Linked DNA regions of Oreochromis niloticus. The protein of the gene in region 2 interacts with the protein of the main gene of each other region in a biochemical or structural test. Links are inferred from orthologs where the notes say so. Each region holds a gene or a part of one and is shown on either strand. Other genes may lie near its edges.

Region 1 (7,692 bases), on a different chromosome or scaffold from region 2:
CTGACCAGCAGAGAGCGAGCACCAAACACTATTCATGTTCAGGGTTCGATTATTCTGCATTCATTCATTTCACAGGCAGAAAAACCATTTACAGCACCCGTCTGTCTGAAACTCGTCCGTCCTTACAGAGGAACTAAAGAGGAGCAACCAGCTGCTGCCCACTGGTTAACTCATCAGCAGCAGGTGTGAGCACCTGTGTAAAAGCAGAAGTGTTGCAGCACTCAGGTGTGCTAACAGGATGCCACAATCTTCCCAGGAGTGAACATCCCACCACATTCATCCTGAAACCCCCCCCCACAGATCTCTGACTCTACAGGCCTCATTTAGAAGGTTAAAGGTCACAACAGCCAGCTGAGGTTTGTAACGCTGCAGCAGACTTCAGCAACAGACGAGAGTAAAGTGCACAGCAGCAAACGGCTCACTGTGAGCGCGGTGAAGGAGGGATGACGATCCGAGTGGACCGTGAACTCCTCTGTATATCAGAGTATTCCAGAGCCAGAGTGAGGCCGTGTGTCCTGCAGCTGAAGCTCGGACCAATCGGCAGGACGGTGATCCGAGCACAGACTTCAATGAGCTGAAGCAACGCTGTGAAGAAGAGCGGACCCAAACTCCACAGAGATCTGATAAAGGCTGATAAAGTCACACAGGAAAGCGTCACTGCTGAGGGAGGCTCTACGAGCTGCTGAATCATGGGGTGGACTCCGTTTGCCTCACACTGCAGAGGGTCCAGTGAGATCCTCCTTCTTCACATGACTGTATGAGTTCAGAGAGAGCTCGGTCATGTCCTCGGGTTAAACTCCTGGATCTGCTCCAGACCTGCAGGTTTCTACCCGACGAATGACCAAGCAGCTCTGACACGATTCACCTGTCAGCGAGGTCAAGCCAATAATGATGGAGATCATGAAATCAGAGGGTGAAACCATCAAACCTGAGGATATTTTCTGTTTTATCACGCTTTCATAATCCCTGGAGGCCAAAATCTTTACAGAAGACCTAAACAATCAGCCCTGATCCACAGTGCCCGACTAAATCCATCTGAGCTACACAGAACCAGCACAGAACCAGGACCGTTCTCAGGACCAACTCGACCCCACAAGGAAACTAAACAGCCCCTCATAATGATAAGAAGCTGCAGCTGCTGGTCCTGGACCTGCTCGGTGCAGCACCTGCTGCAGCTTCTGGTCTGAGTGACTCTCCAGAACCAAACCAGGACCATCAGCAAGAGCTGCAGTTCAACAGAGAGGGGAAGAAGCCTGTCTGACCTGCAGCAGCGTCCAGAGCAACTCACACCTTCCAGACAGGAAGAACAGAGCAACTGAACTTTCAGAATAAGAGTGTGGGAGTGTAAAGATACCTGCACAGCCTCCCACGTTCATAAACAGTGAGCTGAGCCGTTTCTCATTCACTCGTGTATGAAATAAACACGTTTATGAAGGATGTGACTGGATGTCAGCCTGAAGCATTTGTGTTTCTGTTCAGCCGTCGGGCCCACGGCTCTTTGGTTTGAGTCCAGGAGAAGGTGTGGTCTACTCTGGTCCATAAGTAAGTCCCACCACTCAGCAGCCACCTTCAGGCATTTCCTGAACTACCTTTAATTTTGTGCTCTATGTGTAGAATCACTATCACATCTAAGGTGAAACTAAAATAAATAAAAGGTTTATTTTGAAGCCTTCATTTCAAAATAAAGGTTTGCTGACTTTGACCCAAAATAAGTCTTGAAGGATGAACTTTTACCACTGTGTGATTATTTCAGTGCCACATCTCTCTGTGTGTTCTAATACTGTCCACTTCCTGCTGTGACAAAACAAATTTCCCACGTGTGGGACTAATAAAGGTTATCTTATCTTATCTTAATAAAACTACACAAACGCACCTAAAAACTCCAAACCCCACTGCAGCATCACGGGCTGGACTGAGAGAACAAAAACACCAGCTTCATTTAAGCATAATAACCCACAGCAGGGAGACCAGGATCAGTGAAGTCACAGCTTCAGAAACACACACCTTTAAACTTGTAATAATTCGTCAGAAATGACCTCAAACATCAAAAATAAACTGACAGCCAGACTCCCACATTTTCCCAGGGCAGTAAACACACCAGCAGAGACCACCTGCCTTCACACTCCGACCCTCTCACCTGCTTCACACCTGAGGGTGTGTTTCAGATCACAGTGACACCCACACATCACCAATGACAGGGTGACATTAACACATCCGAACCAATCGCCCACCCTGACATTAAAGAGGCGCCGCCAGGCCAGAGTCCGTGTAAGGCATGCACGATTTAAGGTAAACTTTCCCGGACAGGGTGGACAAAGATAAAATCACCACGTCAGATCTGTAAAACGCACACATTTGTTCCACAAGTCAAAGCGGTACGAAACAAATCAAAAATAAAATCAGACTATTTTCCTTAAGAGACACAAAACATGAGTAATGGAAGCTTCCTCTACCTGCCGTGAAACCAAAGCCTGTCAATGGCTGACATTAACGCCGAAGTTGCCAAAGGGACAAAATAAACACCCCGAATTAATTAAGTCGTAGGTGTTGGATGTGTGTGTGACGTGAGGTGACGTCGCGTTAAAATGTCCGGTTTTTGGCCGGAGTTCTGCGGGGCGCTGCGGGGCTGACAGCGACGTTCACGTAACATAGTAAACAAGACAAGGTAGCCGCGTTAGCTTCGAGCGCTAACTGCGCTAACGATGTATCGGAAATGAAGAGCAGCGCGTCCCGGAGAGCACAAACACTCAACAAAACCCACACACTGCGTCCCCACGAGGTGATCGCCGCTAAAACTGCGCAAAATCTCAGTAAAGCGCCGCGCAGAGACACCGCACAGCGCTCTCCCGGAGCCCGACGAGTCCGGGCAAGGCCTCGCTTCCTCCAGCAGCTCTCCTCCTCCTGCCGCCGCCTCTCACTCACCCTGGTCGAAGTGATGTCCATCATGACCTCCTGGAAGGCGGCCGTCTCCTCGGCCTGCCGCTGGGTGTGCAGTGCTATCTTCTCGCTGAACTTTCGCGGGTTGGACGCCCCGGAGCCGGCGCCCGAGGCGGGTCCGGGTCCACAGCCGCCTGAGCCCGTCGCAGACATCTTCACCGAGCGGACGGGACGAGCTGACGTAGTGGAACGATTTCAGAGAGGGGCGGGGTGAAGAGGGATCACTCCGCCGCTTTTTCTGAGCACCAAAACCAGCAGCGAGTCTGCGCCGAAAGCCCGCAGCGGGACCAACCGAAACCCGGCCGAAAACACCCCGCCGGAGGACCGGGTTCACAGCCCGCTGGAGGACCGGGACCGGGTTCACAGCCCGGAGCTGACGAGGCAACAGCTCTGTTGTTGGTTTTTCTTTTAATTATTTTTTCAATCCTGAACAAACAAAACAGCGTGTTCAGTCCTTTTGTGTTCATCTTGCTAATAATTAAAAATATTTACAAAAGTAATTTAATTGATTTAAATAATGGAACGTATTTCTGTTCTCTTAATCATTCATTCATTTCATTTTTAATTCAAAGTTGAATTAAAAAGTCTGTGTGGGGGGGGTGTCCTATGGTAACAGCTACTTAAGTGAGGTCACGTGGACGTAGTTCAGCGTTTCTTCGTGGGAAGTGAGACCTCTGACTCACAGACCAGCTAAGATGGCTCGGCTGAGGTGTGTTGGCGCCCACTGCCGGCAGAGTTCAGCCGCTGCAGGCTGAACAGCTCCTGCTCCTCAATTTCCCCCAGCTGCAGAAATTAGAGGTCAAAGGTCAAGGTGGGGATCCTCTTCTTCCTTACTGTGTGAATATGAGATTAATCCGAGTCTGTGGACGACAGAATGCAGAAGAAGAAATCTTCAGACCACCTGTAGTTCAGCCGCGTCACCTCGTTTTTGAGTCTTCACTGTGATTTAGGGTCAAAGTTCCTGTTTTATTTCTGATGTAACGATGAGGTCAGCTGATCACTTTGGCCTTTTCATTGTTTGCTAATAAAGTTTTGTTGTAAACACGCTCTGTGACTGCTGCTGTCACCTGTGTCAGGGCTCGTTCGCCACCTTCGTGCGCGTCCTTAAATTCAGCTCCTGTCACGTTTGTGGTGATTGTGTTCAGCTGCGAACGCTCTGCTACTGTCCTCTCAGGTGCACTGATGAGGTCACACAGGTGTCACTGTGTTGCTGAACTGTTGTGCGCTCACACTGTGTCATCACTCCCGTATGTGTTTTTGGCTCACCAGTGAAACTGTGACATGAACGAGGTGATCACACACACACACACACACACACACACCGTGTCAGCGTCTGCGGTGGGAAAGCTGAAAGCTGACCGACCGCAGGTGGCTCGGACTGAAGTGAAAGAGGAACGCTCAGCGGCGCTCCGGCTGCTTCCCGTTCTGATTCTTCACCTGAACAAGGACACGCATCACATCCTGACATCAGCGAGGTCATCACTGAAGAGCAGCTGCCAAGAAACCGGCCTATAACCACGGCAACCACAGGTTACTAGGGAAAAATGAACCGGCTGTCAGCGACCCAGAAACCTGCAGCGACCACTCAGAGTTGACGTTTACCGCAGGGGTCGCCGTTCGGTCTGTAGGCCCGTGCCACCGGGTCGTCGCCACGGTGGTTTGTTTTTCGCTACGCTCCAAGGTCACGTGGTACAAACTTGTTTTCAGGGCAGTTCTCATTTAGCTTTAAAAACACAGAACACTTGTTTCCTGTTTCACAGGAACACAGACTGTATGTAAAAGATGGACCTAGCACAGTGACCGCCGCCATGTTGGTTTTCTGCCTGCAGTTTACATAAAAACACTTTTTTGTTTGTTCCTCAGATAAAATGAGAATAAAAACGTTTTCCGTCGGCTCGAGCGCCCGATGTGTTTGGATACGATGGACGGTCGGCGGCTAAAGCTGAGGACAAAAATCCATCATGATGCGTCATCGCTGCTCAGACTGTTTTCACGCGTGGCGAGGTGGTCATGTGACTGTCGAGCTGTCGGACTTCGTCCTGGATCAGTGCTGCTGATCCACTGATAAGTAATCACAGTTTATCTTTGCCGAGTAATCAGATTACAGGAGCTGAGAAAGCGTCACGCAGCAGAGGTTTGACTTAACGTCTCTGAAAATACTCGAGTCTTATTGTAATCGACTACTTTTACTTCAGTACAGACGTGCGTGTCTGTCCGCAGCAGCTTTATGTTTCTGCATTTCTGCTTCCTGTCGCTTCGTTTGACGAGCTGCTCGGTGCTGCGGCCATCTGTCCCGTGCGGCTGCAGGACGCCGCCTCATGAAATAAACATTCAAACACGCGTGTTTATTTTCTGTATAATTTGATACAAACTTGATTACAGTAAATTTACATGTTTAAAAATACTTTAATTACAAAAAATAAGTGTTTGAATCCTGCTGTCAGTTAAAATAGAGCTCTCCACTAAAAATATACTCTCCTCCGGCTCGGCGGCTCCAAACGTTCCAGTCAGATTTCTGAAGGTTTTCCAGACGTCGGCTCAGAAATCCTCGTTTAGCAACACGTTAGTCCTAAAAACTGAAATCAGCCACAGCTCTGGGTCGCTCCTCTGAGGCGAGCACATCAGAGGTTTGTGGTTGGTGGATCACTTCAGGCTTTCCTCGGGATTTTGTTCACGAGGAGGTCGGAGTATTGGTCATGTGATCGGGGTCTTTGCTCCGTTGGTCGCTTCTTCGATGCAACTAAACAGCCAAAGCGTCTCCACGTGGAACCTCCAATAAAAGCTGCCAAACAGGAAGTTCGGACGGGTCGACGACCTGCCGTCACGCTCCGTCAGCCATCAAATATGGCCGCTGTCCCGCTGCACCCCGAACTCTGAGATCGCGCCGCAGCAGGCCAGTCTGCTTCCCATGATGCACTTCTTCACTCCCTGGGGGTTCGATCGCCTGCTGCGGCTCCTTAGCTTCATCCCGCCTCCCTGAGCCTGCCAGAAGTTTCTTCCTGTTAAAAGGGAGTTCTCGCTCCCCGCTGTCACCAGGTGCGGCTCACGGGGGTTTGTCTGATTGGTGGGTTTCCGTCAAACCCTGCAGGTGGTCGGAGGAGACCTCGAAGGAGGACACGAGCCAAACTTTAACGGATCAGGTTTGTGGGGCTGTTCTGCTCCTCCCCCTGGCGCTCTCGCGTCGTCGTTGGTTTAAGTCTTCCTCTCTCAATAACGTCAAAGAAATTAAAAACGTGTTCCTAATGAAGCTCTGAACCATGTGACGCATCTGAAGTCGCACACGGAGCTCGCCCTCTCGCCATCTGCGTCTACAGTTTGATGAAGAGCACGGCGGTCACTACGGCAAAGCCCACCAGTAGCACAGCCACCTTGGCGATGCGGTTCCTGCCAGCGGCAAGCTCGTGCGGCAGGATCTCCATGAAGGTGATGTAGATGAAGGTTCCCGCCGCCAGCCCCTCCAGTGTGCAGCGGGCCAGCTGGTGCCCCGGCGATGTCTTGGTCTCGCTGAGGCCAATGCCCAGGCCAACGCCCAGCGGCGACATGACGGCGAACAGCAGGAGGCAACCGACCACCACAGAGCGGCGCAGCCGGGCCTGAGACAGCTTCACCGTCAGGCTGAAAGAGATGATGCTCTTGTGGATCATCAGGGCGAGGCAGATCTCCAGCACCTCCTGCCCCTTCTCCAGCAGCCCCACCGCCAGCCCCTCGAACACCGAGTGCAGCGACAGCGAGAAGACCAGAATGAAGGCGCGCAGGGCGGACTGAGATCCAAAGTCCACGTGGAAGTGACCGTCCGAGTCCGCCGAGTCCTGGCGGCGGCGGTGATCGTTGGATTGGATGCTGGAGTCCACCAGCAGAGAGCGCCGCTCCTCCGGGGACGGCGACGTCTGGTCCTTGAAGGCCAGGATGATCTGCTCCAGGACCAGGACCAGGAAGAAGCCCATGGCCACGATGAACTCGGGCAGGGGGAACTGCAGCTGAGGGAGGAAGAGGAGGAGAAGAAGAAGAGTCAGCTTGAGATACCTGTGTCTGGATTTACCTCCAGGTCCAAAACTAAGAAATGTTCAGAAATCTGAATGTCCGAATAAATCATCGGAAAAACATCAATATTTAATAAAACGTTAAAAGTAGAAACTCCAGAAGATTCTCATCGTCATAGAGACATGATCAATAACACGTGACGTACATAATCGGAGCTGCAGCTACAACCAGATTACATCCCTGGAAGTACCTGGGACAATTTCGTGGCCTTTGCATTTTTTAATTTCAAGCCATTTTCACTGTAATTTTTGTTTTTAAATTTTATTTTAAAATTTCAGTCTGAGTTCCTTAAATGAGCTTAAATGGCTGAGCTACAGACACATTCTCTCGAACCTCGTGGTCGATTTCTGCCCCATTGAAAACCATTATAAACGCTATTTTTCATTGCACGATTATTATAACTTAAGTTAATGCAGTCCTCTAAGTCTGCTTTAAAAAGTGAAAAAAAAGTGGTGTTGTGTGTCACTATAAATGTTGGATACTGGTATGTGTGCTTTTTTTAAAAAATATAAAGGTCTTTATGCCTAAAAAAAGGAAAAAAAAAGACACAAACACACTTTTTTTTCAAAAGTATTTCACAGTATTTTCTCTCAGACGGCCACACTGCAATGCAAACAAAGTAAATATAAAAGCAAGGACCAAAACCAAATTAGATTTTATTTTTCCCTTCAAGCTCATTTTTTAAACACGGCTGCAGTTGAATGAACCCCGCCC
Region 2 (7,438 bases):
CTTAGACAAAACAAGAATGTGGCAGCACAGACTATAGGGTACTATCTTAGAAAGGCAAGTTGGGTTACAGAGTCATGTGGTTTGAGGATTTATCTGATTCCAAAATAATACTGTCTGACACTGGATTTTCATCCGGGCACTTATCACAGGCATTTTGTCTGTAGCGTGACGATCATATAAACAGCAGATTCTTTTCACATTACTAAAATTTTCATCAGGAAAGTTGCAGTGATCGACTATCACAGTGCACTGCATATTTTTTTTTTTAGGTTCAAGCCCACTGTGTCAGTGAAGCGGTATTATTCAAGTAAGTCAAGGAAATGTAATGCATTCTCTTGCACGGAGCGTGAGCACAGCTTTTTATTTTAACGACAGATCTGTAACTTATTGACCTGCCTTTAACATATTAACAGTTTGGACTTACAGATGAGTAGCAATGGGTATTTTGATAGGTTTAACACTTTCCATTATCATCTCCCTAGCTACGTACAGGCAGGTGTTCAATTCAGGATTAAATTGAAATCTTTTAATGGCACTCCAGCTACCTGTGCAGACCCTTCGAGCATGAGATTCAAAATCTTTGTTCTGCTACAGAGGGACAACAGAGCACCTAACATGAAAAGATCTGTGCTAGCTGATTACATTGTCAACAAAACTAAACCCACACACAGCACATAAGACTTCTCATGAACTGTGCTGGCACAAGGTCACTGGAGGACAATGAGTTAGAGGGGAATTTAGCTCATACAATGAAAGCAGAAAGACATGATGACGCTATAATCAGATATGGATTGATGTACTACTTGCTGAGCTGACACACAAGACCAGAAGGGAATGGCTCAACAGTATGTAAAGCCACAAGCTGCAATATGTACTTACTGGGATGAATGGGTCAGTATCACATGCAGGGGCCACGCACAGAATAAGTAGGTTATTTACACAGAGATAAACCTGTCCGGGAATATGCCCACACATTCACATCGTCGCACCACATCTGCTGTTTCATGTGTCAGTACACTGGTTTTCTTTACACTATGCTAATATCACTTGTGCCCGGGCAAATTCTCAAGGCAGATGGCATCACATAAGTTAATAGCCTGCCACTCCGGCTGACCTTGGCTGCTGTAAAATAAAAAAATTAAAAAAACAACAGTGCCAGGCCCACTGCCAGAGCTAGGCAGCTGCATTCGCTCTCCGTACTGACCATCACTGAGTGACCTCTGCCAAACCCAGCCTAAAAAACAACCCATGTTTTCATTCATCTTTAATACCACTCCAGCTGAGGGAGAGGTGTAGTCGCTTAGTGAAATCACCTGGTGTAACGTTTGCCTGAAATTAAAACCTGCATTCACAGAGCTGTTAATGTTACACGGTGCAGATTACCTGGCTAGACTAATGCTGTGCCACTTTGCGTGCTTTAATAACCAGAGTAACAAGATAAGAGTCTACAGAGCCATTTTGTTGCCTTGTTATTCATTAAACCTACCAAGGGTCTCGCCTGGATGATGTAAATCTTTGTTTTTTTCTGTACGGTGTAATCAGTTGGAGGCTCCAGAGATCAAAGTGTGCAGCAGCTCTCCAGTCTTATCACTGTCTCACACAATACAGCTTTTATTTTATTTTTTTCCTTTGCCCCCTTTTCTTTTTCTAACTGAACACCCTTTACAGCAAATTCCTTGTGTCTCTGTCATTACAGCAGAAAGTCGTGGCACTCCGTGGTACTGGTTGAGAAAGGGCCCTTCTGCACAAAGCTGACATAAACCCAGAAGTAAACTCAAACAAACCCCGAGCCCTGTTCCCTCTGCACTCATGCTGCATTGCCTAAGAGTGTGCAATGTTTCTAATATCACTCCAAGCTTAGTTAAGACCCTCGACCCCCACCCCCCTAAAAAGCAGTGCATGCAAAATACTTTGCTTTCCAATTACAGCATATCTGACATGACATACCCTGCTCATCACAAAGCTCTGAGCAGTGTTGAGATAAGAAACAACTAAAAAAATAAAATAAAAAAAAAATCACATCATTACTTGAATTACATAAGGGGACCACCGACCCATGCTGCATGCCCCAGATACGGCACCAGTCACTCTTGAGTAGGTACACTGTGGCTGCCGTCTGGGTCATTAACCAAACGGATGCATGTGCAGAAAAACAAATAAATAAAAATAATAATAAAGCATGCATGTTTACAGTTTGTGTTTCCCAGCAGCTCTAGTGGTCAGACCTTTTTTTTATTTATTTTTTTTTACTGGCAGTGATGTCAGCTGAGAGGGGTGAACGTGCAGTCATTCACTGCTCCTGTACCTGCAAGCTTTCAGGCACACCAGCTGTTGCTCGAACCGGAGCAGTCCAAGTGGCCGGTAGTTATATGATCCAAAGATGCTATTTAGTGCACGGTGCTGGAGAGCATTTCGCTATCTAGGGGTGTCAACTTGTGCATAAAAGTTATATAACTCCGCTAAAACAGTAGCACAAGTTAGCTTTCGGGCTAACTAGTTTGCTCACACACTCACCTCCGTCTTGGTTATGCGGTGTCGGGCCAACTTCACCACAGCGAAATTGCCCTTTCCTAAAGTGCGCTCGATGTCGTAGAAGCCCACTCGGACCGGACCCCGGATCAGCGGTTTTTGGACACTGTCAGCCATGACCATGCTGTTCTAAAACGGGACTGTTCAGTGGAAGAGTAGGAGGCAGCCAGACGTGCAGGGACACACGAGGGGCAGACTGGGGCTTACTTGAGCAGCTCGAGATAAAGACGAAAGGAAAACAAACCGCCCGCCACCGCCGCTGCTGCCACCGCCGCCGCTCGAAGCGTGTCCATTAAAAATACACAAAGTTGATTTCTGTGTCGCCCTCGGCCGCCTGAACGCGACTGTGGCGACCCTGTCCGCTAGTGTGGCGATACGAAGCTGGCCATTTGCTGAGCCCGCGGGCTGTCACACCACGTTCTTCAGTACAATAGAGCTATAATATTTCAGCTTGAGGCGCCTCTATCAGCGACAGAGCACACGAGTTGACTTGCAAAGAGGCATCATGTTCTCCGGTTGACGTGTATTGACGTCAAAGCCATAGGGGTATTTGTACAGGGGGCGGGGCCACCGAGCCGCTCCACACTTCAGTGCCAATTGGTTGCCAGGACAACCAGACCCACCTCTTACGTCAACCGGTAAAATTGCTATTCTGAAATCTGTTTGCTCGCCTGCCCTTCTTGATTGCACGCATAGGTAACTTTGAAGTTTTTGCCCTGCAGGTGTTTAATAAGCTTTTGTCGGCTGCGAGTGAAAAATGCAGGGGGAGACAGGAGCTAAAAGCGGTCTGAACCGGCCTGAAAGCCTCCAGAGTGGGGTCTGCAAAAAAAAGTAAAAAATAATAATTTAAGAAGCAAAAAACCAAACAAACAGCTAGTGTTGCTTTTATATATATACATACATATATATATATATATATAGATATATATGTGTGTGTGTGTGTGTGTGTGTGTGTGTAGCTGATTAATCCAGCTATGCAACTGCATTTCTAATCTATAACATTACATAATGGAATACACAGAGCCTCATATAAAATCAGACATTTTATCAGCCACAAAGAAACTTTTGTCAGCTACATGACAGCACCATCTGTTGGCAAAAGTAGAAAACTGAAGCGAGGCTCCATATTTTCCTTTTCCCCAGTGCTTGACTTATCACGCTTCATGCTTTCAAGCAGCTTTCAAGCAGATCCCACCAGTATATCTATATTATTATTAAACAAAGAATGCAGCCAAAATATCTTAACTACACATCAGAAAAAGAAACTATCTTCATGTCTGAATTGCAGCACAGCTCTGCAACTGGCACTGCTTTTCTTCATGTTGTGTAGTGACAGTCAAACAGAACAGTGGATTGCTAAGCAGGCAGGCAGAGCAGTGCTCCAAAGGCCTCCGCTGTCACGCATCGACTTCCTGAATGTAAGAGTTCCAGATGTGCTTTTGGCATTTCCTGTCTAACATTCTCCAAGAACACACTCAGCCTCTCCTTACTGGGCTTGCTACATCTTTCCAAGACACCGATCCAACACCCACTCGGTGCACATTTAGAAAAAAACACAGACATTTGTATACGTAACGCAAAGAGTGATCTTTAAAAATGAACATGGAAATGCACATGCATTGATTAACGGTGTGATATATTCTAAACTGGCCTCAAGTTTCTGTCAGATCAGTGGGAAAGTTGAACCTCGTGCACAATCAGGTGGAGTCAGGAAACCGCACAACTTTGAGGTTTATTTTGGCCACAGCAGTTCAGCCATCGGTGTTTCCTCATGTTCTCTGCTGGGCTCTGACATCAGAGACCAAACAGGAAGCCTTACACAGGGATGACACCAAAGTTCAAGTTTAGAGAAAAGGTCAAAAAAGTCCCTGGGTTGGAGTCTCCATCACAGCAGCAAGCCAACACGCAAACCCTCTCTGTCTTCTGACTCATCATATCCATTGACATTATTTTAAAAAGAGAAGCTGAGTAGTTTAATGTACAATTGTTTACAAAATGAGTAACCCTGTGGGGGTGCAATATTACAGGATTAGGCTAATTGCATAATCTGTTATGTCAGATTCAGCAGCACTGCTGCACCACCAAGCTGACCTGAACTATTAATGCTTCTTTGGTTTCATTAATGCCTCCTAAAACCTCTAAGAACTTTAGTGCTGCTGTAATGTTGCATAATTTATTAGAGCTGAAGGTTTAAACTGAACAAAGGAAATAAGTGGGCACAAAAACGTGTTTTTCTTTGAGTTGAAACATAAAAAATTACTCAAAGCCCATTCCGTTAGTTTAGCTTAGAGACCTGTACATGACCTACATCTTTAGCTGCTTGATGAATTGATCTTACCATTTATTCAGTTAACTTAAAATATAACACAATTTTTAAGGACAGCATTATCAGCAGTCTATCAGATGGCCTGCCTCTTTAGCCTGAATTACTTTAATACAGGACCAAAATTTGCCTTGAAAATTTGTGCATTCTCCCCAGACAATAAATAGACTAATGCTTTTGATATTCCACTTGAACTTTTCTGTAATATCTTCACCCACTTTTCATTAACCTTATGAAATATTGGAACCTTTATGACATGATTTGGTTTTGTATTTTTGCAGTTTCCAGCCTATGCATTTCAGTGCATAGCCTGTAATGTAGTAATGCCACTATAAGATTAGTGGATTACAACAAGGGTCTCAACAGCTGTTGGATGGATTACTATGAAATTGTATACACACATCCGTGCCCTCTTCAGAATCACTTTGGCAGTCCTTTAACTTCTCATCCTTTTCTTTTTCAATCAGATTCGATTAGCTTCAGCTTTATTTAGTGTGTGGAACTAGTCTGCAATTTTGGGCATCCATACTATGATGGTGAATATGGAAAACAATGTGTCTACATCTATCAGCATGCTATCACAGTGATTCACGGAGCTAACAGTGCCATTGGTCTGACTGTAACACATTTTTATTAAAACATCAGAAATATAAAGTCATGTGTAGGTGAATACTGAGTCATGGACAAAACATTAAGAATCCCTGTTTTATGGAATACACTGATTTGCAGACACAGTACATTCTACATGCAGGACTAGAAAACTGAGTGAAACCTGTGCAGATATGGCCAAGCTGCTTAGAAATCCTGCACCGCACAGTGTAACTGTAGTCTGTCTGTGGTTGACGGACATTTGCAGACACCGGTGTTATCCATAGATCTCATTTTCCACCCATCCAGTCTGACTGCGGCAGCGCCGGCTTTGAGCTCTGCAGGGCTCGTAAATGTCATTGGTGACAAAGCCGCTCTCATTGTCCACACACGACACATTCTCATAATCGTTGCACTGGGAGTCATGGGACGGAGAACCGGAGTACTTTGTCATGATTTCTGCTGCTATCCTGCTGTCCAGAGCAGTGTGAGGCAGTTTGGTAATGTCACTGTAGGCATAAGGTCCTTGCACAGGGCAAGATGAAGCTGTTGCTAGCACCCACTGTTTTGATCTGCTGGGATAGCTTTCTGTTTCTGTCTTCCTCCTAAATATGAAAGAGGGCCCAAGTTAAAATCAACAGGACATACTCATATAATCAAATGCATTTAAAAAAAAAAAAATCTCTCATAGCTTTTTATAGTTATAGTTTTACCTCTTAGCATGCTGTTTGTAGCAAAAGAAACCAGCAGCTGCAAACAACAGCAACAGCAGCGCAGGGATAGTTGCATAAAGGATGTAGGAAATGTTGAGGGTGTTGCCAGAGAAAGATACTGCGAACAAAAGAACTTTGCTTGTGACACAGTGGTTTTTCATAGTTTCCCAAAACATACTGCGCTGACTCCGAGCATCAAGAATATTTTCTTTCCTTTCTTACCAGAGGATTCAGGTAGTGCTATTTTTATCCTTTCGTTACTTTCTGTGGTTGACAGTATGCTTGGAATCACAGATGGAACTGGAGAAACCAGAAAACAAAATCAACAGGTGCGTGTGAAAAATATTTTAAATGATTCGATTAGTCCCTAATTTATCTCTATCTATCTATCTATCTATCTATCTTGTTATCACATAATGTATGATTTCACTAAACTCACCCATAGATAGACTATAACAGCTGACGCATATGTTCTACTGCAGAGGACAGTTGCATTTTAATTTCTAGAAAATTTAGCAGTTAAAAAAATAGAGTTCTCCAGAGAATACGTTTTGTATCTGTGTGTTCTTCATGTTTTATCTTTATATGGTTGGTGGCTGGATCCTTGGCTGCTCCAGTCTGCATACCAAATATGCTTAGGCAAGATACTGAACCTCAGGTTGCTCCCCAACGCATTTATCGGAGTATGAATGTGTGTGAAATTTAGCTAGAAAGGATTTATGAGTAGAAAAAAGTGATTTATGAATAGGTGTGCATGGGTGAATGACGCATGTAGTATAAATATCCAGCCCATTTACCATGTTTCTTGGAGAAAAAGTGTTTAAAAGAGGTCACAAGCATGTATAAATTTTCTTTAGCCTTTTATGTATTTATGAAGACTGTAATAATACCCAAAAGAATGAGGCTGCAGATATAAGCAATGAAAAGGGTGGTGGAGCTCTCCCTTAAAGTGATGGTGAAGAGCTCGGTTATTCAAATTGGATTTGGAGTAGAGCTGCTGCTCCTCCACATTGAAAGGAGCCAGTCGAAGTGGTTCAGGCATCTGATTAGGATGCTTCCTGCAGGTGTTGGTTGTCTCAAAGGACAATAAACAAAATGTAATCGAACATACACAATATTATGTATAATATAACAATTTTCATGTGATCACATTACATGGAATACATGGTTGTTTTCAGAATGCACAGTACACAGCAGACGTGAGTACAGAGGTGTATCACCTTCTAATATTTGCATTTCTAAGCTGACAAGTACCTGCGTATGCTGTGTTTCTGTCCTCGGTAAA

Evidence for each region.
Region 1: of the proteins of sik2b (region 2) and CREB-regulated transcription coactivator 2, one has a biochemical effect on the other in vitro, tested with the Homo sapiens proteins (2 studies listed by BioGRID). The link is inferred for Oreochromis niloticus from reciprocal best matches to the Homo sapiens genes SIK2 and CRTC2.

Annotation. Positions count from the first base shown.
Region 1 is NC_031976.2:38,038,824-38,046,515, forward strand, and holds the start of CREB-regulated transcription coactivator 2, read right to left. Parts: upstream 3,190-7,692; 5' UTR 3,091-3,189; coding exon 2,923-3,090; intron 1-2,922. Other genes in the region: slc39a3 (zinc transporter ZIP3), read right to left, coding at 6,246-6,914. UniProt on the Homo sapiens protein: Transcriptional coactivator for CREB1 which activates transcription through both consensus and variant cAMP response element (CRE) sites.
Region 2 is NC_031979.2:21,140,619-21,148,056, reverse strand, and holds the start of sik2b (serine/threonine-protein kinase SIK2), read right to left. Parts: upstream 3,080-7,438; 5' UTR 2,653-3,079; coding exon 2,515-2,652; intron 1-2,514. Other genes in the region: laynb (layilin), read right to left, coding at 5,718-6,045, 6,154-6,271, 6,376-6,453, 7,408-7,438. UniProt on the Homo sapiens protein: Serine/threonine-protein kinase that plays a role in many biological processes such as fatty acid oxidation, autophagy, immune response or glucose metabolism.